Saccharomyces cerevisiae S288C: one gene and its partners. The gene in region 2 interacts genetically with the main gene of each other region. Each region holds a gene or a part of one and is shown on either strand. Other genes may lie near its edges.

Region 1 (7,792 bases), on a different chromosome or scaffold from region 2:
GTACTGCAAATGTCAGAAGAAGAGTTTAGACAAGGTGTTCTAAAGCTACAACAATTACTAGGTGAACTAAACTATGTCAGACACAAATGCAGATACGACATTAATTTTGCTGTTAAGAAAGTGGCTAGACTAGTAAATTACCCACATGAAAGAGTCTTTTATATGATTTACAAAATAATCCAGTACTTGGTTCGGTATAAAGATATTGGAATACACTATGACCGAGACTGTAATAAAGACAAGAAGGTTATTGCTATAACTGATGCATCAGTTGGATCAGAATATGATGCTCAATCAAGGATTGGAGTTATATTATGGTACGGTATGAATATTTTTAATGTTTATTCTAACAAGAGCACAAACAGATGTGTATCATCAACAGAAGCAGAGCTTCATGCCATTTATGAAGGCTATGCAGACTCAGAAACGTTGAAGGTAACATTAAAGGAGCTAGGAGAAGGAGACAATAATGACATTGTCATGATCACTGACTCAAAGCCAGCCATTCAAGGATTAAATCGCAGCTATCAACAACCAAAAGAGAAATTCACTTGGATAAAAACTGAAATAATAAAAGAAAAAATTAAAGAGAAGAGTATAAAACTGTTAAAAATTACCGGCAAAGGTAATATTGCTGATTTACTAACAAAACCAGTATCAGCATCTGATTTTAAAAGATTTATACAAGTATTAAAAAATAAAATAACATCACAGGATATTTTGGCCTCAACAGACTATTGATAATTAATTAATGAAGTTCTAAACACACAATGAATATCTGTTGAAGTACAATAATATATCTTTAAGGGAGCATGTTGGAACGAGAGTAATTAATAGTGACATGAGTTGCTATGGTAACAATCTAATGCTTACATCGTATATTAATGTACAACTCGTATACGTTTAAGTGTGATTGCGCCTATTGCAGAAGGAATGTTAAACGAGAAGCTCAGACAATACTGAAGCTGTGTTAAAGACCTATTAGTTGAACATGATATGGTAGGTACATATATGAGGAATATGAGTCGTCACATCAATGTATAGTAACTACCGGAACCACTATTATATTGGTCATGATTAATATGACCAATCGGCGTGTGTTTTATATACCTCTCTTATTTAGTATAAGAAGATCAGTACTCACTTCTTCATTAATACTAATTTTTTACCTCTAATTATCAACATTGATAATAAATTTGCTCATGTCATGGCCCACAAGTTTTTATCCCACAATGAAACATTTTATTATAGCTAAATACGTCATTCTAAACTTAAGAAACCATCTCTATGTGTGAAACGCATGAATTATATAAAATAACTACTGAAATATCTTTGTTACTGATGAGAAATAGATGAATCGTAGATAACTGTGAGGATTCCGTTGTTGTTAAAGACTATAATATCAGGTATACAGAAAATGTTAGAAGTTCTCTTCGAGAATATAGAAATCGACAAAAGGGGTCGGCAGTTTTACATAAATAATTTATGGAATAAATTCAACTATCGTCTATCAACTAGTAGTCATACTACCAGTATATTATCACATACAGTGTAAGAAGATAACATAAGGGATGAGAAACTGTCATCGAAGTTCGAGTAAGTTGAAATTCAACGATTAATGCAACGATTGATAATATAGCAGGATAATGAAACATATAAAACGGAAGGAGGAATAATAGTAATATTATTTGTAGAAAAATCGATTCCCCTTTGAAAATTTCTATATCCTCGAGGAGAACTTCTAGTATATTCTATATACCTAATATTATTGCCTTTATCAACAATTAAATCTCAACAATTATCTCAAAATTCATCAATTTCTCAATGATATCATTTTTTCTTCCTTCTTTTTATACTTTGTGATTCATTATCCTATTATATAATCAATCCTTTCATTTCACTTTCATTAAACTTGATGACTGTTTCTCAATCCTTATCTCATCTTCTTACACCGTATATGATAATATACTGCTAATATTTCTAGTAGTCAGCATGATATTTGATTTTCACCAATCAACCACAAGTCCTGACAGGAAGTTATTATTTAACCACATTACTGTTGCGTGGATAAGTGTTATTATTCTATTGCCTTAAAACTATACAACAAAAGCTCGTATGGCGCAGTGGTAGCGCAGCAGATTGCAAATCTGTTGGTCCTTAGTTCGATCCTGAGTGCGAGCTTTCTTTTTTTCCAAAGAATTTTAATTATATACGTTCGCCTGTACGGCTTTTTATATACTTAAAAAAGTGAAAGTTGTTCTTATTCATTTGAATGCGTATTAAAAAGATTGATTGACTCTTCGTGATAACTATTTCTTCAACAGTTCGTGAACGGAATCTGTTTTTATTTTACTCAATAATGTCATACGTTGTAATTTATGCAAATGTCTGATTCCCTTCGCATAGAGCCAAACAGTAGATATTAACCCCAAAATGGTGACAGTTAAATACGCATAATTACTTTCTTCTATGAAACTTTCCAGATTCATACCATAGATAGAACCCAGGAATAGAGCGCCTCCCAACGAAAGCATTCCTATGGCGTATCTTATCCCTAACAGCATTAATTCGTTTCTGTTAGAATCTAGGATTATATTGATGATTTCTTCTGTGGTTTTCACGTCAGATATGGCGCTTTCGCTTTTCTGAACTATTTCATCGACATAGTTATGATATGTTTCCAGAAGCATTTCAATTTCAGTATGATCATCTTGAACTCTAATTTTTCCAGCCTTTTTGTCGGTTAAGTACATATCACAAAGCATATCGTCTTGCTCTAGCAAGTCATCCAGCATATCTTTAACTAGAACAGCCTTTTTATTGAAGCTGCTCAATTTTTTGTTTTGACCCAGTAAGAACCTTAATTTATCTCTTGTTATACTAAATTCTAGATCTTGAAGCACCCCCTTGCATATGGTTAGCAACACCTTCATTTCACTGGTAAGGTTAGATAATGCCGAAATGAAGATCGTTTCTAAAGCTCTGAATTCATAAGGAAGTGGATCGCTATTTAGCTCGCTTGTTTCTTGATTTTTTAGTCTCAATTTCATATCGTTAATAAAATCCTTGTGAGCTTCTGAGTTTAAAGTTATTCCACTGCCGGCTGAATCGAAGATAATAACCATATCAGGCTTAATTAGGGCTTTCACAGTAAGTAAACTGATTAGTATGGAATTTTCTCGCACGAGCAAACTAGGGACTAAGTCATTCTTCCTTGATTTTTCAATTTTACGTAGATCTCTGGGCAACAAGCCATGTTTTGATACTAGATCCTCACGTTTTATCTCTACTAATGGTGATTTGGCTCGTCCAGTTGAGTCTAGCAAAGTACATCGTATTGTCCCTGATCCATACCCATAGAGCATGTTGTTTCTTTGGATCAAGTTTTTCTGTAGTAGCATTGCAGCGGTATTGTCAGGGTCCACCTTAGGCATTTGCCTAGAGAAATCAAAAGAAGAAAGTGATGAACCAAAAAGCCTTACTGTTCGAAGAAGGATGTTATTATATGATCTCTGATGGCGAAATGGCAGTACTCGGGGGAATGCTCTCATGTGTACCTTTTGATTGGAATTGGTTCGCAGTGTTTATGTTATATTAGCTCAATGTGCTCCCTGTATTTTATATATGAAACAAGTCTTTGTATTGCTATTTTTTTCAAACCTTTTTCTCAACTCTAAAAGCGGTCCACGTTAGTTTTCTTTGGATATAGCAGTTGTTGTACACTAGCTTAAGATGTAAAATTCAATTCAATATGATTTTGTGTGGGATGTTTTAAAGAAGGCACAAGCCTGTTCTCTCTTTTTCTCTTTTTTCATGGATTGTATCGCTTAAAAGGGAGAAATGAAGTAAACGATTCTTTTTGTAAAAATATAAAACCAAATTTTTTAATTTATATGTATACATATTTATTTATGACGTAAGACCAAGTAAGTTTATATGAAAGTATTTTGTGTATATGACGGAAAGAAATGCAGGTTGGTACATTACAACTTAATTCTGACAGCTTTTACTTCAGTGTATGCATGGTAGACTTCTTCACCCATTTCTCTACCGTAACCAGATTGCTTAACACCACCGAATGGAACTCTGGAGTCAAAATCGTTGTATGTGTTGATCCAGACGGTACCGGCCTTCAACATCTTGGCCACCTTCAAACCTGTGCTCAAAGATTCTGTTTCGATACCAGAACCTAGACCGAATTCAGAGCTGTTAGCCATTTCGACACCTTCTTCTAAAGTCTTGAACTTTGCGACAGTGACAACTGGTCCAAAAATTTCTTCCTTAACAATTCTCATGTCTTCATTAACATCGTAGAAAACGGTTGGTCTGATGAAGTAACCCTTGTCACCAACTTTTTCGCCACCAGTTAAGATCTTGGCGCCTTCTTTCTTACCGATATCGATGTAGTTCATAATTGTGTCGAATTGTTGACGGTTAGTGATAGCACCTTGGAAGTTAGCCTTGTCAAATGGATTACCAACTTTGATTTCGGTTTCCAAGTAAGCCTTGAAAGCAGCCAATAGTTCGTCGTAAATACCTTCTTGAACGTAAATTCTAGAACCAGAGGAACAAATTTGACCAGCGTTCTTGAAAATACCGTTTACTAGATTTGGTAAAGTCTTCTTAATGTTAGCATCGTCAAAGACCAAATGGGCGGACTTACCACCTAGTTCCAAAGTGATTTTCTTCAAGTTAGATTCAGAAGAGTCGACAGCAACACTCTTACCGACTTCTGTAGAACCGGTAAAAGCCAGCTTTCTGATTCTTGGGTCGTTGGTCAAAGCAGCACCAACAGTTCTACCAGGACCTGGAACGATGTTGACGACACCAGCTGGAATACCAACCTTCTTACATAAAGAAGCAAAGTATAGGGCATTTAAAGGTGTGACAGCAGCGGGTTTCAAGATACAGACGTTACCCATGGCCAATGCTGGGGCGATCTTCCAAGCCAACATCATTATTGGAAAGTTCCATGGAATAATTTGACCACAGACACCGATTGGCTCTAAGGTGGTGAAGTTCATGTAGCCGTCACCGGTGTTGATTGTTCTACCGTTGACTTTGTCGGCATAGGCAGCAGCATCTCTTAGACAGTTGATTGCAATGGTAACATCCCCACGGGCTAAGGCCAAAGTTTTACCATTGTCCAAAGCTTCAATGGAAGAAACCAAGTCAATTTGGCTTTCCAATTCGTCAGCCAACTTACTTAGTAGACGGCCTCTTTCTCTTGGGTCTTGGGTAGCCCATTCAGTGTCGTGGAAAGCACGGTCGGCACATTCGATAGCATATTCAACATCTTCAGTGGTGGCAGAAGAGACCTCACAAACGGTGTTTTCAGTGGAAGGATCTTCGACGGGATAGGTCTTACCGTCTTGAGCTTTCATAAACTTGTTGTTAATGAATAGACCGGTTGGTTGCTCGTATGTCAAACCATTTGGAAGTGTGATCTTGACTGGTTCAGCAGTGTCAAAGTGTAGCTTAGTCATTGTATTCTGATAGTATGTGTTTGTGTATGTTAAAGATGTTTCTTGATGTTTTTTCTTCTATAAAACAAGAGAAGTAAAAGACTGAACACTTCGAATTGAATATTACCAAACTTCTTATTACATTTATATATGATATCAAGAACTTGTTAAACACGCCAGGCTTGACCTCGAACGGTGTTTTGATGTGTTACTCAACCGTTAAATCGCTGTTTGAGCTGACTAACAAGGTTGCTTGTCTTGAATCCCCCTCACCCCGAATTTATTACGAATTTGCCCACATGGTCGGTGCTATATCGCATTCGTTGCACTCACCGTTCCCAAGAGGAGATCAATGTTACATACGTTCCCGATGCCCAAAACGGTAAAGTTAAAGCGATATAGAAGCTGGATGCATATCTTTTTACACGTCCGCGGCGCGCCCACCCTCTTTTTTCTTTCTGGTTCCTTTTCGGTCGTTTTTCTTTTGTCGGCTGCCTTATTCCCGTGGGGATGAGGCGAGCGCCGTTTCGGCTTGGATACGCCATATGCAACAATGACGTCTCGGTGCTGGCCATGCCCCTCATTTATGTCGAAAAACAGGCCACTGCCCCTCTTTTCTGCGGCCCGGGCAAGAGGAGACCTCATCAGCCACGGCGACGTGCTGGTTGCTTCTACAATGGTATCTTCACCTTTTACATAATCCAATTCTATCATGCCCTTACGTGAGGGGCAGTGTCGTATGTGACGGCAGTTCCTGACCTGATAGTGTGTCTATTTGTCTGTTAGCGTCCGCGGAAAGTTGTGAGTACGGTTTTTAGTTTAGTTTCCACCCGGGATTATACTTTTGGCTACCCTGACTGGAAGGCGGCGGCCTTATATTCGAATGAACATGCCAGGCATTGTACGAATTGAAACTTTTTTCGTATGACGTTACGAATAATTCCATTCGGCCTAAATATTCTTTTTTTTTGGATTTTTATGCTAGTGAAGGAATATGAGATATGCAAAGCGCATCAGATCATTAGGTGTGTCTACATCGTTAAAATTTAACATAGAAAAAATAAATAGGCGTGTTTGTACGTAGTATGGTGATGTTAGGAGGTGCAGTGGTAGTAAGTTAGCAATATACATAAGTTTTATTCACATGACAGTAACAAAATGAGGGTGTGGGGAGTGTACAGGTACATTTACATACACACATAGATACGTAGATACATGAGAAGAGGGTTTACATGAAAATTATTTGGATTCAGCAATCTTCTTCTTTTTCTTTTCCTCTTCAAATAAGGCGTCTACCTCCTTCTGCTTCTCCAATTGTATTTTCATTTGTTCTTCTGGCGAAGGCAAGTTACCTTCAACATAGTCTTTCAGCGTAAATGTTTGCCCGCCCATTTGCTCCTGCTGTATTCTAATTTTTTCCTTTTCTTCCTCAATCATCTTCATGAACATTAAATAGTTCTTTTGTCCTTCTTCATGAATCAAATCGAGCGGGAACTTGGTGCTGCCGCCCAGGGAATTTCCGAGACCTAGTGCCGTCATTGCCCAGTTGCCACCAGATTTATGATCTCCGTAAAATTTATCCTTCAATTTTTTCACACGATGATCAAATTCTTCTGCTAGGTTCTTCTTGTCTTCAAAGCTGTTCAAGATTGGTCTAACATCCTTGGTTTGTTGAGTGGCAAGGTACTCCAAAAATGGAATCAATCTTACTAATTTGTCATCAGCTTCACCATTCCATGGCTCCATTGGAATAGCATTTTCAGGTTGCAATTTGTAACTGTTAGGGTCAGTGTCAATAATGATTACTTTACTCAAATCTCTATTCAATTTTGACAGATCCTTAATGTGCACACCGTCTTTGTAAACACAGTGTTCCTTGAACAAATTATAAGATACGAATGCATGGATTGGATCTAATTTTTCAGCGATTTTGTCAGAGTACATCATATAGTTGGATGAAAACAAAACAATTTCGTAATACTGCGATAGGTAACCCAAGAAGTAGTCAGCACCAGGTCTTTTGGCCGTTCTCCAACCATGCTTTTGAGACCACTCAGAATGAACCAAAAAATCTTCCAATGTGATAACAAGAGTTAATGGCCTTTGGTACGGTGGTGGTGGTGGTGGAGGTAGTAAATCAGGGAAAGGTGGCTCTTGGAAGTAGGTGAACATTGAGTTGAACCTGGCCTTGAATCTTTTATACATAAGTGATAAAGTGTAGCCATTATCGATGTCTTTCTTCAATTCTTCAGACTCTTGAGGCTCCCAATCCCTTGCCATGTAGATTGCAGTACCTGTCAACGCAGACAACGAAAAAATGTAAAACC
Region 2 (8,179 bases):
TGACACTAGCCATCGGCGATGGTTCCAACGACGTCGCCATGATTCAATCTGCGGATGTTGGTATTGGTATTGCCGGTGAAGAAGGTCGACAAGCTGTTATGTGCTCAGACTACGCCATTGGACAATTCAGATATTTGGCTAGATTGGTCCTCGTTCACGGTAGGTGGTCTTATAAGAGACTGGCAGAAATGATTCCTGAGTTTTTTTACAAAAACATGATTTTTGCTTTGGCATTGTTCTGGTATGGTATCTATAATGATTTTGATGGGTCTTACCTGTATGAATACACATACATGATGTTCTATAATTTGGCATTTACATCCCTACCAGTCATCTTCTTAGGTATTCTGGACCAGGACGTGAATGACACAATATCATTAGTGGTCCCTCAGTTATACCGTGTTGGAATTTTAAGGAAAGAATGGAACCAAAGAAAGTTCTTATGGTATATGTTGGACGGATTATATCAGTCTATTATCTGTTTTTTTTTCCCTTACTTGGTTTATCACAAAAATATGATAGTTACGAGCAATGGGTTAGGATTGGATCATCGTTATTTTGTCGGTGTTTATGTGACCACTATTGCTGTAATTTCGTGTAACACATATGTTTTATTACACCAATATAGATGGGATTGGTTTAGTGGATTATTCATTGCACTGTCTTGCCTCGTAGTTTTTGCATGGACGGGAATATGGTCTTCTGCGATAGCTAGTAGAGAATTTTTCAAAGCTGCAGCGCGTATCTATGGAGCACCTTCATTTTGGGCTGTTTTCTTTGTTGCCGTGCTGTTCTGCTTACTGCCCCGTTTCACATATGACAGTTTTCAAAAATTTTTCTACCCAACTGATGTGGAAATAGTAAGAGAGATGTGGCAACATGGCCATTTCGATCATTATCCTCCTGGTTACGATCCAACAGATCCCAACAGACCCAAGGTCACAAAAGCTGGGCAACACGGAGAGAAGATTATAGAAGGCATAGCACTTTCCGACAACTTAGGAGGATCGAACTATTCAAGGGATAGTGTTGTCACAGAGGAGATTCCAATGACTTTCATGCACGGTGAAGATGGAAGTCCTAGCGGATATCAGAAGCAAGAAACCTGGATGACTTCACCCAAGGAAACACAAGATCTTCTTCAATCGCCCCAATTTCAGCAGGCCCAAACGTTCGGAAGAGGCCCATCAACCAACGTCAGGTCATCCTTGGACCGCACAAGAGAACAGATGATCGCCACTAACCAACTAGATAACCGCTACTCTGTGGAAAGAGCGAGAACATCTCTAGATCTACCAGGCGTAACTAACGCAGCCTCCTTAATCGGAACACAACAGAACAATTAATAATGATATCCGAACCATAGCTGATGGAACTCCGCTTTTCACTGTATATATAATATTACATAATATTACTGGATAAGCCTTAGAAGCCTTAGAAGCCTTAGAAGCCTTGGAATTCATGCATACTACAGCGTTAACTCTTTCTTTTAGCAAGTTTTAGTAGCGGACGTGTGGGTTTCTTTGTTCTATAATTAACACTCCCGGTTAACCCGGATCGCTATTATTCAAGGACGCACAATGGTGGGCTAATTTTTTCTTCCGATGGAAAACTGACGCCAGCACTTTCCAGCGCTGGGAACTCTCCACTAACTGGCAAAAAAATTGATTAAGGTCATGATCAAAGGAATTTTTGAAATGTTGTAAAGTAGAGTTAAGAATTAATCAAGCCGTGATACGTATGTTTTTGACTAGGTGAGAGACTATATTTATCAAAAATAGTTTTTTATACTAACAGAAAGTTTATTATATCATAGAAATCCTAGGCCTATTGTTATTATTTGCGTGAAAAAAGGTTCATGCCTAGTTATTCAGGATATTAATCAGGCATAGTCATAGTTTTGTAATACACGTCTTTCACTCCTATTTCCGGTTAACATTCGCTAATATCCATCAAATTATTGACTTTTTTTTCAGTGGATTTGTTGTTAATAAAGGAAACAATCAGATCAGCCATTTAGGGAAGTCTTTTAAGAAAGCTCAGAAGGAGATCTAAGACAAGAAGCAAGGCAGTCTTGATTTATCGCTCAAAACCAATAGCACATGCCGAAGAATAGTCACCACCATCGTTCCAGTTCGGTTAATTCCACAAAGAGTCGTTCTACGGAATCTACGAATAAATGGAAAATTCCGCACTATTATCGCAGATCCGCTAGCGGCAGCACACAAGCTTCGCCGGACAGGAACTCCTCAACAGGCTCATGTAGCACTCCAGTATTACCTACTATGAATGTTATGTCTAGCCCGAAAAAAGTTTTGCTAGAGGATCCCAGAGACAACCATACTAAGGCGAAGAAGAGTAGTAGAAAGAAATCAGGTGAAATGGTCTTCGTCAATTATACTGTACAGGACACGGCTAACGAAAATGATACTGACTTGCAAACCCAGCCGGTTTCTGTGCCAGCACCAAAGGCGAAATTAAAGAAGAAATCCTCCAAAAGGAGAATGCTGAAGATATTTGGATCGTCAAAGAACGAACACATAGAGGACATCGTTGAAGAGCAACCAATGGTGCTTCAAATGGATTCAGAATCTAAACCCCTTTCGGGAACCCCTATCTCAGAAAGCGGAATCGACGCCTCGTCACTAACAACCAAAAGATCTTATAACTCGTTCTTAAAACACAATAGGCTAAACGGTAAAACTCCGTTCTCTGGAAACTTGTCCTTTCCATCATTAAACATGATGGGTAACACTACTGATCTGCCTATTGACAATAACGATTTTTGTTCCGAGAAAGAAGTCGTTCCGAAATCAACTCATGATCCTTCACTAGCAAAACCGCCATCAAGGTTCACTGAAAGCGAAACAAATTCTACTCCCAACTTATCAAGTATACCTCTCATGAACACAAAAAATACAAGATTGAAGTACAATAAAGTGGCGCCTCAGAGTTCAGACCGACAAAAGTCACAGGAAAGTGGGCTATATCATTCTACCGAATCATTCAACTTCAAAGATCAAAACTACAGTAACAATAAATCCTCTTTAAGTCTGAACTCCGATTTAAGTACACCCCACTTTGCAAAGCATTCACCTGATTCACCAAGAACTTCAAGATCTTTCAACTGCGGAGACTCACAAAGTAAAGTTAAATTACCGGAAGAAAATGACGCTTCTATTGCATTTAGTAAGATGTTTACTAGAAAACGAGCCAACACTGGCGGGTCCACGTGTTCGCTAGCCTCACCCACTATTGCACAAACTATTCAGCAATCAAATATAAAAGTTAATAAATTGCCAACTCAGCGAACCACTTCAGTTGGCTCATTATCATCCATGTCAAATCGTTATTCACCAATAAGAGTTGCATCGCCAGGAAGAGCAAGATCCGCAACTCGTGGGTCTTCCCTTTATAGATTATCCAGAGACCTTAATTCTTTACCAAGCGTCACTGATCTACCAGAAATGGATAGTACAACCCCAGTTAACGAAATATTCTTGGATGGCCAACCACAGCATAAAAGTGGCAGTGTCAAAGGAGGGCATAGGAAGAAACAAGAATCTATCTCTGATGCTCAAAGAATTCAACATTCTAATTCGTACATTACAACACCTTCATCTTCTCTGGTGACTCCTCCTTACTACATGACAGGTTACACATTACCAAGTTCTGCATCTGCTTCTTCAACTCCAAATGTGCTTGAAACACACAATATGAACTTTGTTCCAAGTACCAGTACTGTTACAAGTTATCGCCCATCTAGCAATTTTTCCTCATTTGACAAAGAATACAGTAACGAAAACGACGCTAGTGGGGAATTCTCTGCTTTCAATACTCCAATGGAGAATATACCGGCACTAAAAGGTATACCTAGATCCACGTTAGAAGAAAATGAAGAAGAGGATGTCCTAGTACAAGATATTCCGAATACGGCACACTTCCAAAGAAGGGATATTATGGGGATGGATACTCACAGAAAGGATGACAGTTTAGATTTTAACTCTTTGATGCCACACGGTAGTACAACTAGTAGCAGCATCGTAGATTCTGTTATGACGAACTCAATATCCACTACAACAAGCAACGCGACCGGAAACTACTTTCAAGATCAAGATAAGTATACATTGGTAAATACGGGATTGGGATTGAGTGATGCAAACCTCGATCATTTTATTAGATCTCAATGGAAACACGCTTCTCGATCAGAATCCAATAATAATACCGGAAATCGCGTTTCTTACAGTGGCTCAACACCAAACAATGTTGATACAACAAAGACTAATTTGCAAGTGTATACCGAGTTCGATTTTGAAAACCCAGAGTCGTTTTTCCATGAGCAATCGAAGCTACTAGGTGAGATGGGCCACAGCAATAACAACAGCAACAGCGCCATCAACATGAATGAACCCAAGTCTGCGGATACATACATTGGAAATATATCTCCGGATACTTCAGCAACTGTTTCATTAGGCGACCTGATGGGCTCAAACGTTTCAAACAACAGTGAAAGAAATTTTTACGATGGTCATACTTTCGTTCCACAGTATCAGGCGAACTCATCTGTGGAAAACTCAAATAATCAAAATGCAGCACCAATTGCAAATAACGACATTGATAATAATTTACAGTCTTTTTATTTTGATAATAGCAACTAAAAAAGGAATGAAAAAAAAAAAAAAAAGTTCAAAAATAGTAACAGATATCTTTCGAAAAAGTTAAAAACTGGTAAAAAATTTTGAATAGAGTATATAAAAACTAATAAATATGTTTAGTTATCATACACCATAGAATAACTACTAGAGATATTATTTCATTTTCGTTTTCATTTTTTTTATTTTTTTCTTTTCAATAAGGTAACAGAAAGTTATTTATGCATTCTTGTTCTACATGTCTTATGTATACTAATAAGCTACTACAGGTATTTTGGTAGTATGGCTTTTAAATGAGTTATTAATTCTTGATCAGTCCCTGTAGGATTATCAAACTGCCACCTAATCGCTTCGTTATTAATTTTACCCAGCCATGGACCTGGCTTCATTTGAAGTAGTTTTGCCATTTGTTTTCCGTCCACTATTGGTTTTAGTTCATGACAATTATTCAAATTATTGTCAAATATGTAAGAATAAAATTCATTGTAATTTTGGAAAAGTAATTCAATTTTTTTAGTTTCAAGCTTGGGAATCTTTAAAAATGCATCTGATAGAGATGCAAAATGTGCTGTTTCCCATTCGCCATTAAAGTTCCGTAGAAATATACCGATTTCGGATTTTTTTAGCTGGGAACGATCTGCAAACTTAGCAAGTATTTCCTCATATGAACATATTGAATCTACGGTCTTGGCAATAACTGCTGCATCATTTTTACTCAGCTTCAATCCTTCCTTCACAATGCTTTCTGTCACCGAAACCAGGTTGTTAATTTTCTTCTTTGGGTTCCCGATTATTTGTAAATTAGCCATGGGGGACAGGATCGCACTCAATATAAAATTTTGCTGAAATCCTGGCGAACGACCAATTTTTTCCCTTAAGATAGGAAGCTTCTCTAAAAACATTGGATATAATTCAATAAAACTTTTCAAGTGTGAGTTTAGTATGTTATCATTGTATACATGATTAATTTTGTCCATATCTTGACAATTCTCTTCGTTGAATTTTACGACGGAGCTATCATTATGCCAAAAAAAGATAACATTTTCAAGATGAGCCCTTTGAATCAGCTGCAAAGCCAATAAAGGGGTTGGTCCTACTAATATTTTCTCCATCTCCACACCAACTCGCTCTCTAGAAATTTTTGAATTGAATGCAACATTAATCTGAGGATCGCCCATTTCAGCCATCACTTCCGGATCTATGGTAAAGTTGAATCTAGAAGCAAAACGGATCAACCTCAAAACCCTCAAGGGATCATCCAAAAATGTTTGTTTTGCAGGAAGCGGAGTACGGAGAACGCCATCTTTTAGATCTTGCAGACCTCTCTTGGTGAAATCTTCCACTTCACCTTTATGAATGTTATAGAAAAGAGCGTTCAATGTAGCATCCCTTCTTAAAGCGTCTTCCTCGGGTGTGCCAAAGCACACTTTAGGTATCCTGGAAAGTTCAGTATACTTTTCAGATCTTAAATTGACAAAATCCACTTCAACGCCAAAGAGCTTAGTAGTGGCAGTTTCCAGATGCTTGGATTTCTCGGGATTCTTGTCAATCTTGTGGATATTATGAGGCTTGGCTCCATATTTGGCGTAATGTTGTTGCAAATACTCGTTCAAACCAGTAGCAAATTGCTCACCTGACATCACATTGATGGCAATATCCAAGTCGTGAGAACCTTGTCCCAGAAGCTTGTCACGCACCCATCCGCCCGTGATCCGAAGAGTCAATGGCTCAGGCTTATTGTGGTACTTTTGATTGTACAAGTCTGTATAATCGTTCAGCAAGTTACAGATGTTCTGTTCCACTTTGGTTAAGGTGATTTTGGGTGCATTTAGAACAAAATTAGAATTCGTCATCGTTTTCTGAGCAGCACTATTCATCAGTAGAGATATAGTAGACCGTAGCATACACAAAAAAAGCCCTTATAACCCACGGATACGAATTAATCTCGAGGGAAGCGTTGCGATGTATTATGTAGTTTCCTTTAGTACATTGTTAATATGGTAGATTTTTGCGATTCATTTTTCAACTTTTCAACCCTAACGAATGTTTTTTAGGGCTGAGTAACGACAAGAACACAACCCTAAAAATCAGATGACCTAAGGGTTTGGTGAATCGAGAAAGTATGCCCTATTTCCCCCGCCCATACACCCCATAAGCCTTAACCGCAGCCCTCCTCTCCCCTAAACGTTTCTTTTTCTTTTTCCATTTTTTTTTTTTTTTTAGTTTTACTTTCTTTTTATTCGGAAAAATCTTTTCTATATTTTTCAAGGGTAACCTCATCGCCATGCAATTAATCACATAGACTCCTTAAGTAACAATGGCAAGGCGATAATTTTAAGAGAATTGCAGACGCTGTACATAGATCGTTATCAGCAAAACATATATTCGCATCGAAGGCGTTGCTTGTCCCTGAAGTAGCTACTTGCGGTTTTCATCAAGCGGCCAATTTAATCATTCTATCAGCATTATTTTAAAATAGGGGGACTTAACCTTTCTATTAGTACCACTTATTTTATAGATCTGCTGGAGAAAAATAAACAGATAAAAAAAAGGGAAAAAAAGAATAAGACTGTCTTGGTGAGGATATTCAGTTGCGTGAAATCATGACGAAACTAATCGCTCCTTCAGAAATCGTGGGCGGAGTGCCCGTCTTCAAACCCACATACGAGCAATTCGAAGATTTCTATGCATACTGCAAGGCCATAAACAAATATGGCATGAAAAGTGGTGTTGTGAAAGTAATCCCACCTAAAGAATGGAAAGACAAATTAGATCTGCCTTATTCTGCGGAAACGCTCCAAAAGATCAAGATTAAATCACCTATTCAGCAGCATATTTCTGGTAATAAAGGTCTTTTTATGGTGCAGAACGTGGAGAAAAACAAGACCTATAACATTATACAGTGGAAAGATCTTTCTAAGGACTATGTGCCTCCGGAGGATCCTAAAGCAAGACGTAATTCTAGGAAAGGCTCCGTTTCCAAATCCACGAAGTTGAAACTGAAAAATTTTGAATCGTCTTTTAATATTGATGATTTTGAACAGTTCAGGACGGAGTATACAATAGATTTATCTGACTTCCAAAATACGGAGAGATTAAAGTTCTTGGAAGAGTATTATTGGAAAACGCTAAATTTTACTACGCCTATGTACGGCGCAGATACACCAGGATCAATCTTTCCTGAAGGGCTGAACGTTTGGAATGTTGCCAAACTACCGAACATCTTGGACCATATGGAAACAAAGGTTCCTGGGGTGAATGACTCCTATCTATACGCTGGTCTATGGAAGGCTTCTTTTTCTTGGCACTTGGAAGATCAGGACCTGTATTCCATAAATTATATTCATTTCGGTGCCCCAAAACAGTGGTATTCGATACCGCAAGAGGATAGGTTCAAATTCTACAAATTCATGCAGGAGCAATTTCCCGAAGAAGCCAAAAATTGTCCTGAATTTTTAAGACATAAAATGTTTTTGGCTTCGCCCAAACTGCTGCAGGAAAATGGCATACGATGCAATGAAATTGTC
Region 3 (8,455 bases), on a different chromosome or scaffold from region 2:
TTCGATATTAGTCCTTTCGGGACTTTAAAAGCTGTCGAGACACTTTCTCCATATAAACTCATGTTCTATATTCATACATATAATATTTTTCTTGAAAAAAACACAAAAACTGTTAAAGCGGGTAATACTTTGATAAGCACTTATTAACGTTTATACCATACACTACTTCATACACCAATTACAAATCTATTAGTGGTATACTTTTACTGTAGACAATGTGGATTTTGATGTAATTGTTGGGATTCCATTGTGATTAAGGCTATAATATTAGGTATATAGATATACTAGAAGTTCTCCTCAAGGATTTAGGAATCCATGAAAGGGAATCTGCAATTCTACACAATTCTATAAATATTATTATCATCATTTTATATGTTAATATTCATTGATCCTATTACATTATCAATCCTTGCGTTTCAGCTTCCACTAATTTAGATGACTATTTCTCATCATTTGTGTCATCTTCTAACACCGTATATGATAATATACTAGTAACGTAAATACTAGTTAGTAGATGATAGTTGATTTTTATTCCAACATTTACTGGTACAATAGGTGTATGATATTTTCCCAAAGTTTAAATTTATATAATATAAGTGGCTTGTGCATTAATGCTCTTGAACGAAACTGGATAACGAAAACTGCAAATACTTGTAGTTTTAAACAGACACTTTCTGGGATAGGTCTATCAGCGAAGCTTGGGAATGTTTCGCCAAATTACCTGTATCCTTTCATGAGCGTGAGCAGGTTTAGGTCATGGTCACATCTTATTATATAAATTCTTTCAGAAGATTGTCAATTGTCCATCTATCGCCATAGATTATCTGAGAGCGAAGTTCCATTATGTCTACTAGTAGAAAATAATTTGAAGTTGAAATATAATAGCATTACAAAATTTTTTCTTTATATAGTCCGGTCTTGAAGAAGGATAACAATATTAAGTGTATGAAGACACAAGAACTTTTTCTTGGAAATTTGGATTTTTATGGGAGGAAACCTACAGCGGCAATGTATAATTATGATTAGTTCATCCTTTGCTGCCATCTGTTCGCAATTATTCATGCAATTGTATGATTATTGTCAGGCATTTCAACTTCCGGTAGATTCGTTTGTAATAATAGGTGAATTTTGTGTTGACATTATCAAACCGTTAAGATAGTGTTAGTTGCCAATTAGCATTTGCCTCGATAGAATGTGACGTTAGTTGTGGTACTAGGAATAAAAGTTGATGGCCAAACATTTTTCCTGCACATTTCCTTCAGCGTTTTCAGAAAAGAGAATTTGAGTAAAAATATTTTTGATGTTTAGGTTACCAATATCTCATTAATATAAATTTGAAAACAATGAATTTTGGGTTATACTTGGAGTGCATTTTATTGTGGTTAAAGGCTACAATATTAGCTAAACAGAATGTACAAGTAGTTTTCCTGGAGAATAAAAGAATTCTAAAAGAGAATCGATAATTCTATACAATAATATAGTTATCTCTTCTTTCGTTTATGTACTGTCGTTCTTGTTTTATTACGTTATTAATCCTTGCAGTGCACTTTTCATGATGACTGGTGACTGTTTCTCAATTTTTACATCATTTTTTTTTGAAAACATGATGATATACTAATAATTTGGATACTAGCAATAAATGCTTCTTGATCCTCTATTCCAACAAAAAAGTAACAAGAGCTTACTGATCTTCGGTTTTTATTTTACCTTATCCCAAATATCAAATTGAAATATACCGATTGTTTTAATCCGTTTTGTTGTATATTATCGTAATAATATGCAGATAATATACATATATACGTATTACGCCGATTAGGCTGACACTTTAACAAAATTTTCTGTCCAATTATTGTCCGATATAGTGTAACGGCTATCACATCACGCTTTCACCGTGGAGACCGGGGTTCGACTCCCCGTATCGGAGTTTTCTTTTTGCTTCCTTCCGCCCTTCCAAGTTGTTGCATAATCTTATCTGTCAAAATATGAACGCTTGAAAACTATAGATTATAATTATCATTTATTTAGCCATAATGGAGGGAAGAATAATATGATTGCATATCAAAGGTAAAAAAAGTCGAGTAAATGACTTATAAACGTAAAAAATATATTGATAAAAGACATAAACGAGGCCATGAAGGTGGGAAAAAAAAAAATAACTGCATAATAATGTTAACTAAATGAAAATAAAATGAAAAATAAAATGAAAAATAAAATGAAAAAAACAAATCATAGGACAAAAAGTTTCCAAATGAAGGATAAGAGGCCTAAAAACCAATGTGCTTTCCAGGCAAAACCAATCTTAGCAACAGCTACACTTTGGTTTTGTATAACTTCTTTTTATTTTTCAATGCACGCGGCTTTAACAGTTCAAAGCTACACATCATACCCGTTGTAACGCTCATTACTGCCCCCCAATTATGAAATTCTCCACAATAATTTGGTGCTGAAAAGATTGTGACAAACTTTTTCCTGGCAAAGAATTCATAACCATCTTCTACGACCATATGTCCCCTAAGTATTAAATCGAATTTAAACTTAGCACAAAAATCAAGAACGTTCCTCTTAGAAAATGTGTATGAAACACCACGATCATTTTCTGACCAATCAGTTACTTGAGGGTCTGGGTCACTCCACAGTAAGTCTGTAACCAGCCCGCTTTCAGGAATATCCGTTGGTCTTGCGACTTTTTCGATTTGCTTCATGTCATGTAAATCGGGCGATATACCTCCATGAACGCAAAAGATCTTATCTTGAATAATTGCTGCTAATGGCAAAGTATTAAATACGTCAACGAACATTTTCCATACTTTCGAGCTCAATCGCCTTTTGCATTCATCATAGAAACCGTACATCTTTGTGACATTAGCAGATTCGTGATTACCCCTTAACATAAAAAAGTTGTCTTTGTACTTTATTTTGTAACATAATAACAATAGTATTGTTTCCAATGAGTTCTTACCACGGTCCACATAATCACCCAAGAACAGATAATTAGTATCAGATGGCACACCAGACAACTTCAAAATTCTCAATAAATCATTAAATTGTCCATGAACATCACCGACAACTTTGATAGGCGCTTGTAATCTCAAAAGAGTAGGTTGATTCAAAAAAATTTCTCTTGCATGATAGCAAATGAGTTGAATTTCCCAAGAATGGAATGGAAAGTTCTTTTTTTTGGACGTTTTTGTAATTTCTCTTGACTCACCCACTTGTAGTAATTTTTCGATCGCAACATCGATATCAAGACCTTCATTTGAAGAGGTATCATGAGAATACCGTCTCAAAAATATAGGCTTCTTGCTACTTTTAGGATTAGGTATCCCAGATGTTGGGGACGAAGGCGCACCAAAAGAACCTGCCTTAACCGAAGATGAAGGAGACTTAACTCTGGACGATAACCCTGAAGATTTTAAAAATGATGAGGTTGATGAGGAAGCAGACGTAGCGGATGAGTAGTAGGAGGAAAAAGAATATGAGGATGGAGAAGAATAATTTGATTCACGATAAGAGGGTGATGTCAGGATATTATTTGAGGTAGTGGCAGTGGTAGTAGAGGAAGTTCTTGCGGTATTGATCAGCTTCGGAGCAGTTGCTGATGAGGATAGGGCTTTAGCGACAGAAACATCGATATCTAGGTACAAGCTCTTCAAGTTTTCATCCTTAGTGTATATTTTCTGTTTATGGGCATTCTCACCAGGAATGAGCAAATTATCATTGCTAGCTCGTTTATTGTTGTTGTTTTTCCCGGCCGATGCTAAAGTGTTGTAATTGTTTATAGAATGTTTATTATTGAATTTCTTGATAGTAGGTAGAGACCTACTATCATCTGGGTCATTAGGTTCGTTACTGTTGAGATCATCTGAAGGTGTAGTTAATTGTTGCTGACTAGAGTTTGAATTAGTTGAGCAATTCGGTACTGCAAAGTTATTATTTGATCTGGACGGGCTTCTTCTCATAAATAGAATATAAGTGAAGGGAAAACAATATCTAACTTGAAAGGAAAATGGACTAAAGTAATAAAATAGGTTTTTTGTAAGGACAAGCTTGTAAATGAAACGTCAGAGACTCGGTAAAACAAGATTAATTTGAATGTAGTGATTCTGACCGATAGTATTTATAGTCCGTGAGGAATACTTACCAAAAAATTGCTAAAAGAATAGACACGTTTAAGGTATATTTACTAATGCCATTTTTTAAGAGATACGGAATCCAGCGAAATCGCTAAATTTGCGGTGGTTGCATTCAACGTTTTTCTTTCTTTTTGTTCGATAATTTATCATTTATTACGTTAACCGGGTTATACAAATACGCCTCGTTAGCTCGTATAGAAGTACATGTCCTTTTATAGTGCATAAACATAGTATGTTCCTTAAGTGTCCAAACATATTCGCTCTCTACGAACTTCGCGTTTTACCTCGAAAGCATTAGCTACTCTTTTAAACTGTGTGCTTCGTGTTGGTTGTTTTCACCTTTGTTGTGGCTGTGTATGCATGTAGCCCACATTTTCCATCCTGCGATTCACTGCCCTCGTAGTCGGCTGCAGAGAGTTAATGACGCGTTGGTGGTGCAAAGTCGTGCTGGAACCCATCGGGCCCCTCAGCAAGTTACGTGCATTCTGTGAAGCAGTGTGGCCAACGCTGTGGTTTGTACTCGTTGTCCTATTCTTGTTGATTGGATTAACATCCTTGTTAAATAAGTAACTTTCGCTTTTCCATATACCGGACAACACTGCCTGAATCTTTGCACTTGCAAGATGTGGATAAAGATCATCAAATTTTTTGTCATAGTTAGTAAAGAGCAAATCGTCCTCATCCTTATGATCTGTATCACTGCTAGAATGTGCGATTGACTGAGCATCGTTATGGCTTTTTTTCCTGATATTATTTGCATTTCCCGTTATTATAGGTTGTACTCTCAACAATGCTTCATCTAATGGGTTGTAAAATCTTTTTACATTAGAGTATTCATGGGATATTCTCTCAAACTCCCTTTTCGCATCAATGTTTCCTGCCATAAAGATAGAGTCACTACCGTCATTTTGTGAACTTAAGTCCATAATAGAATTCTCCCTCTGCAACCATAATTTTCTTTGTGTTCTTGATTCTGCATCAATCCCATCTGATTTAAGGAACTGGGCGAAGCTATTAAATTTGGCACCTGAGTTGGATTGTCTGTTTGCATCGCTACCGGAGTTCGTACTAGATGTAATATGTTCGTTGGACAATGGAGAGGCCGGGGCTGCAGAATTTTTGTTGAGATCGTTGGATCTCAGAAGTAGATTCTGATTACCTTTCTTGTGAAAAATATTATTCATTCTTGAACCATGGAAGCTTTCAGGAGCAGCTCTCCTCAAATTATTGGTTAAACTCGATATGGAGGTCGAAAAGTTGTGCTGTGGTACATTATTATCTTTACTACCGATGTTAGCAATGGTGGGGAAAGTAGACTGAGAGTTCGGTATATTTTGGCCAAGTTGAGATCTTCCACCATTTTTCTTGCTCTTGCGCAATTTGCCATCATCCAGTTCATTAAAAGTATCACCTGAAGCCATATGCTCACCCGAGTCATGAATTTCATTCCCAAGCGAATTTTGGATGGATGATGAATTTTCAAATCTACGTTCAACTCCAGTCGACTGGGAGAGAATCATATTAGGCGCATAATTTTCCAGTAAGCTATGCCCTTCAATATCCTTGGTACCAGCGGAAGAAATATCATCAGGCTTGATTAGATCTTCTTCTTCGTTTAATAATTTGTGTTGTTTAGAACTTTGTCTCCTAAGAGACATAAAGCTCGAGTCGCTTTTTCTTGATGAATTACTCCTAGGGGCATCAATGTGATCTTCCTGATCAAACTGTTCATCTGAATGACTTGGTTTTTGATTACTTTTATGTGCAGCTAAGGTATTACCAACATCAAGAATTTTTTTTTCTTTATCATATGGTGCTTCTGATATATTATCGCCCGCTTTAACCAATGAGGCCCTCAAATTTTGAGAATGGCTGGACAAGTCATCAATATCAGCTTCCTTCGTCACCTTTGATTGCCCCTCTTCATTGATTACACTTGTTGCATTCAGTTTTGTTTCAATTGAGCTTGGAGATGTTTCTCCATCTTTCTGATGTTCTATAGAATGGCTTGATTCTCCGAAATAGTTATTGGAAGATAAATGAGGTAATGGTAAGGATACAGCTCTATGATTTTCCTTTCCATCAGTACCTGATTTATCTTCTTCTTGTTCATCTATTGAATCCGGGGATTGTAATTCATTCTGATTTAATTGCTGCACATTCTTTTTTTCTTCAGGCATAACATGCTCGGCTATTACTTTATCATTATTCACCTTTCCATCTTCAATGTTGTCTTCCGAAAAACATTCCACCTCCTCGTCAGTAGTAGATTCACTCTTTTTAGATTCTTGCGCATCTCGAAGACTCAGAACAGATTGGGTACTTTTACTTCTTCGTGGTTTCAGGCCGAAACCAGCAGTTCCAGTATTAGAATGACTGCTGTTCTTTGGACTGAGCAGCGTATTATGCACCGGACTATGAAAGGATGCTGATCTTTTTCCTTGATTGGACTTTACTCTTGTTAAAGCTGTCATATTCAACCCACTAATCGTTCGCTTTCTGAAAAGTGCATCAGAACTCTTGCATTTCTGAGAAACGTTGTGCTTATTAAAATAATCATTATCCAGGGTGCCATCATGTGTTAAAACTCTACGCAAACCTTTGAAGCTTGCGTTACTCTTTGCTCTCGACCTAGTCGAAAACTGTCTAAATGGCTTTGACTGGTGTGATACTGTTGACGCATTAAGAGATGTTACATCAGTGTCTGACTTCAAAGTCCTTCCTCGATGAACCATAATTATAGTTACTCAGTAAGGATATATGATATATCCCAATATCTATGTTTACCTGACCCGTAAATCGATAGAATGTGCTAGTCCATTAGATGTTTGGATTCCTTAATCATCGTGCCAGCCAAATCGCTATACCATCCGCAACTAGCTATCCTTGCGGTTACCCGTACAAGAGTAAGCTCGGTTGATAAAAACAACGTTGAATTAGTCGTTTTTATATCCATATAGATGTATATATATGTATAGATGTGTTTGTTCGCCTCATTACAGTTATACTTTGGTTGAGAATAATATTGCAGTGTTTTGCGTTTATTGAATGGCATTAGTGTTATTTGAATATTTTTTCTCCCATAGTAGTAACTCTCTAGTCAGGTCGTCCATCATTGATAGACTTTCATTATAACCGTTGTAAATCGTATCAACTTTTTCTACGAAATGCTGGTTTTCCACGAATCGTACAAATTCCTCTCGATCAGACTGATCTTCACTCAATTCCCATTGAGTTCTAGAAATGAACTCCAAAATAGCGGATACCCTTCTTCTCATTTCGTTTAATGAGGTCCTTTGAGGGGGTAATCTGGGCTTTACTGGTTTGTCGGTACCTATATCAGCACTCCTTCTATTTTGGTTGGTGTCTGAACTTGTATTGCTTCGACGAGTTCTGTTGCCCTTTCTTGCTGGTTTGGAAACTCTTTTAGAACCCCTCGAACTAGCTTTCCTTGAATCATCCTCAGAAGAAGATATTGAGGTTAGGGGTAGGATGGGTTCATCAGTTTTCTCAGTGTCTTGCGCCGAACCCGTAGAAGATTCCTTTTCTTGACTAGCTTCTTTTTCCACATCATTTGTTTTTTCCATTGATTGCTCTTTCGATGGTCGTAGGCTTTCTTTCATATCATCATTTGTTACCGAGTCCGGTTTGCCTTCCGTTAGCATAACATCCGTTTGTAATCGAGTGGTGCCGTTGTGATTGTCGGTATCACCTTGGTATATATCAGCATCATTTTCATAACTTTCAGGATCTTCTTGATGTGATGTCCTCCTGCTTTCTTTCAAGGCTTTTTCAAGCATTCTTTGATATTGCTTTTCTTCTCTTGCCATGAAAGTTGCCCTTTTTCTATCCAGTAGCTTCTTATCACTATCTCCAGGATCCAGTGAATACTGATCGGTAGAAGCATCATCCATTGAATTCCTCCTCCTCCTTCTACTTGACCTCGTGTTGCCGTCCTTGGCTAATGCTACAGCCGAAGCTTCATCTTCTACTTCATCTTCTTCGTCGCCGATATCGTCGACGTTATCATCGGTATTGCTGGTATTTCTGGGACTTTTCTCTGCTTCATTGGCGGCATGAGATTTACTTGCAGCTGCACTTCGTGCCTTCCTTCTTGATTGCCTCCTTTTCTCTTGCACAGGTTTATAGATTGACCTTGCTTCGCCAGTATCTGTGGTAAAGAGCTGATGTAACTCCGGTCTGCATTGCTCGCACCAATATTTATCAGGTGCGTTGTCTTGAGTAATACTCACACAATAACCGTGCTGCCAGGAACTGCACTGCTCACATTGAATGAAAAATCCGGAGTCATCTGGAGTATC

The links.
Region 1: mutations in CCA1 (region 2) and MFM1 together harm fitness more than expected from each alone (negative genetic interaction), as found in Saccharomyces cerevisiae (one large-scale study listed by BioGRID).
Region 3: mutations in CCA1 (region 2) and PPQ1 together harm fitness more than expected from each alone (negative genetic interaction), as found in Saccharomyces cerevisiae (one large-scale study listed by BioGRID).

Annotation. Positions count from the first base shown.
Region 1 is NC_001148.4:430,282-438,073, reverse strand, and holds MFM1 (Mfm1p), read right to left. Parts: upstream 3,552-7,792; coding exon 2,310-3,551; downstream 1-2,309. Other genes in the region: aldehyde dehydrogenase (NADP(+)) ALD6, read right to left, coding at 3,984-5,486; YPL062W (uncharacterized protein), read right to left, coding at 5,775-6,179; protein translocase subunit TIM50, read right to left, coding at 6,705-7,792. UniProt on the Saccharomyces cerevisiae protein: Mitochondrial inner membrane magnesium transporter required for mitochondrial magnesium homeostasis. Modulates the conductance of the MRS2 channel.
Region 2 is NC_001137.3:516,114-524,292, forward strand, and holds CCA1 (tRNA adenylyltransferase), read right to left. Parts: upstream 6,557-8,179; coding exon 4,916-6,556; downstream 1-4,915. Other genes in the region: aminophospholipid-translocating P4-type ATPase DNF1, read left to right, coding at 1-1,346; BCK2 (Bck2p), read left to right, coding at 2,103-4,658; RPH1 (Rph1p), read left to right, coding at 7,256-8,179. UniProt on the Saccharomyces cerevisiae protein: Nucleotidyltransferase that catalyzes the addition and repair of the essential 3'-terminal CCA sequence in tRNAs, which is necessary for the attachment of amino acids to the 3' terminus of tRNA molecules, using CTP and ATP as substrates. tRNA 3'-terminal CCA addition is required both for tRNA processing and repair.
Region 3 is NC_001148.4:203,661-212,115, reverse strand, and holds PPQ1 (protein-serine/threonine phosphatase), read right to left. Parts: upstream 3,960-8,455; coding exon 2,310-3,959; downstream 1-2,309. Other genes in the region: TCO89 (Tco89p), read right to left, coding at 4,469-6,868; CTI6 (Cti6p), read right to left, coding at 7,175-8,455. UniProt on the Saccharomyces cerevisiae protein: Phosphatase involved in the regulation of protein synthesis. Affects translational accuracy.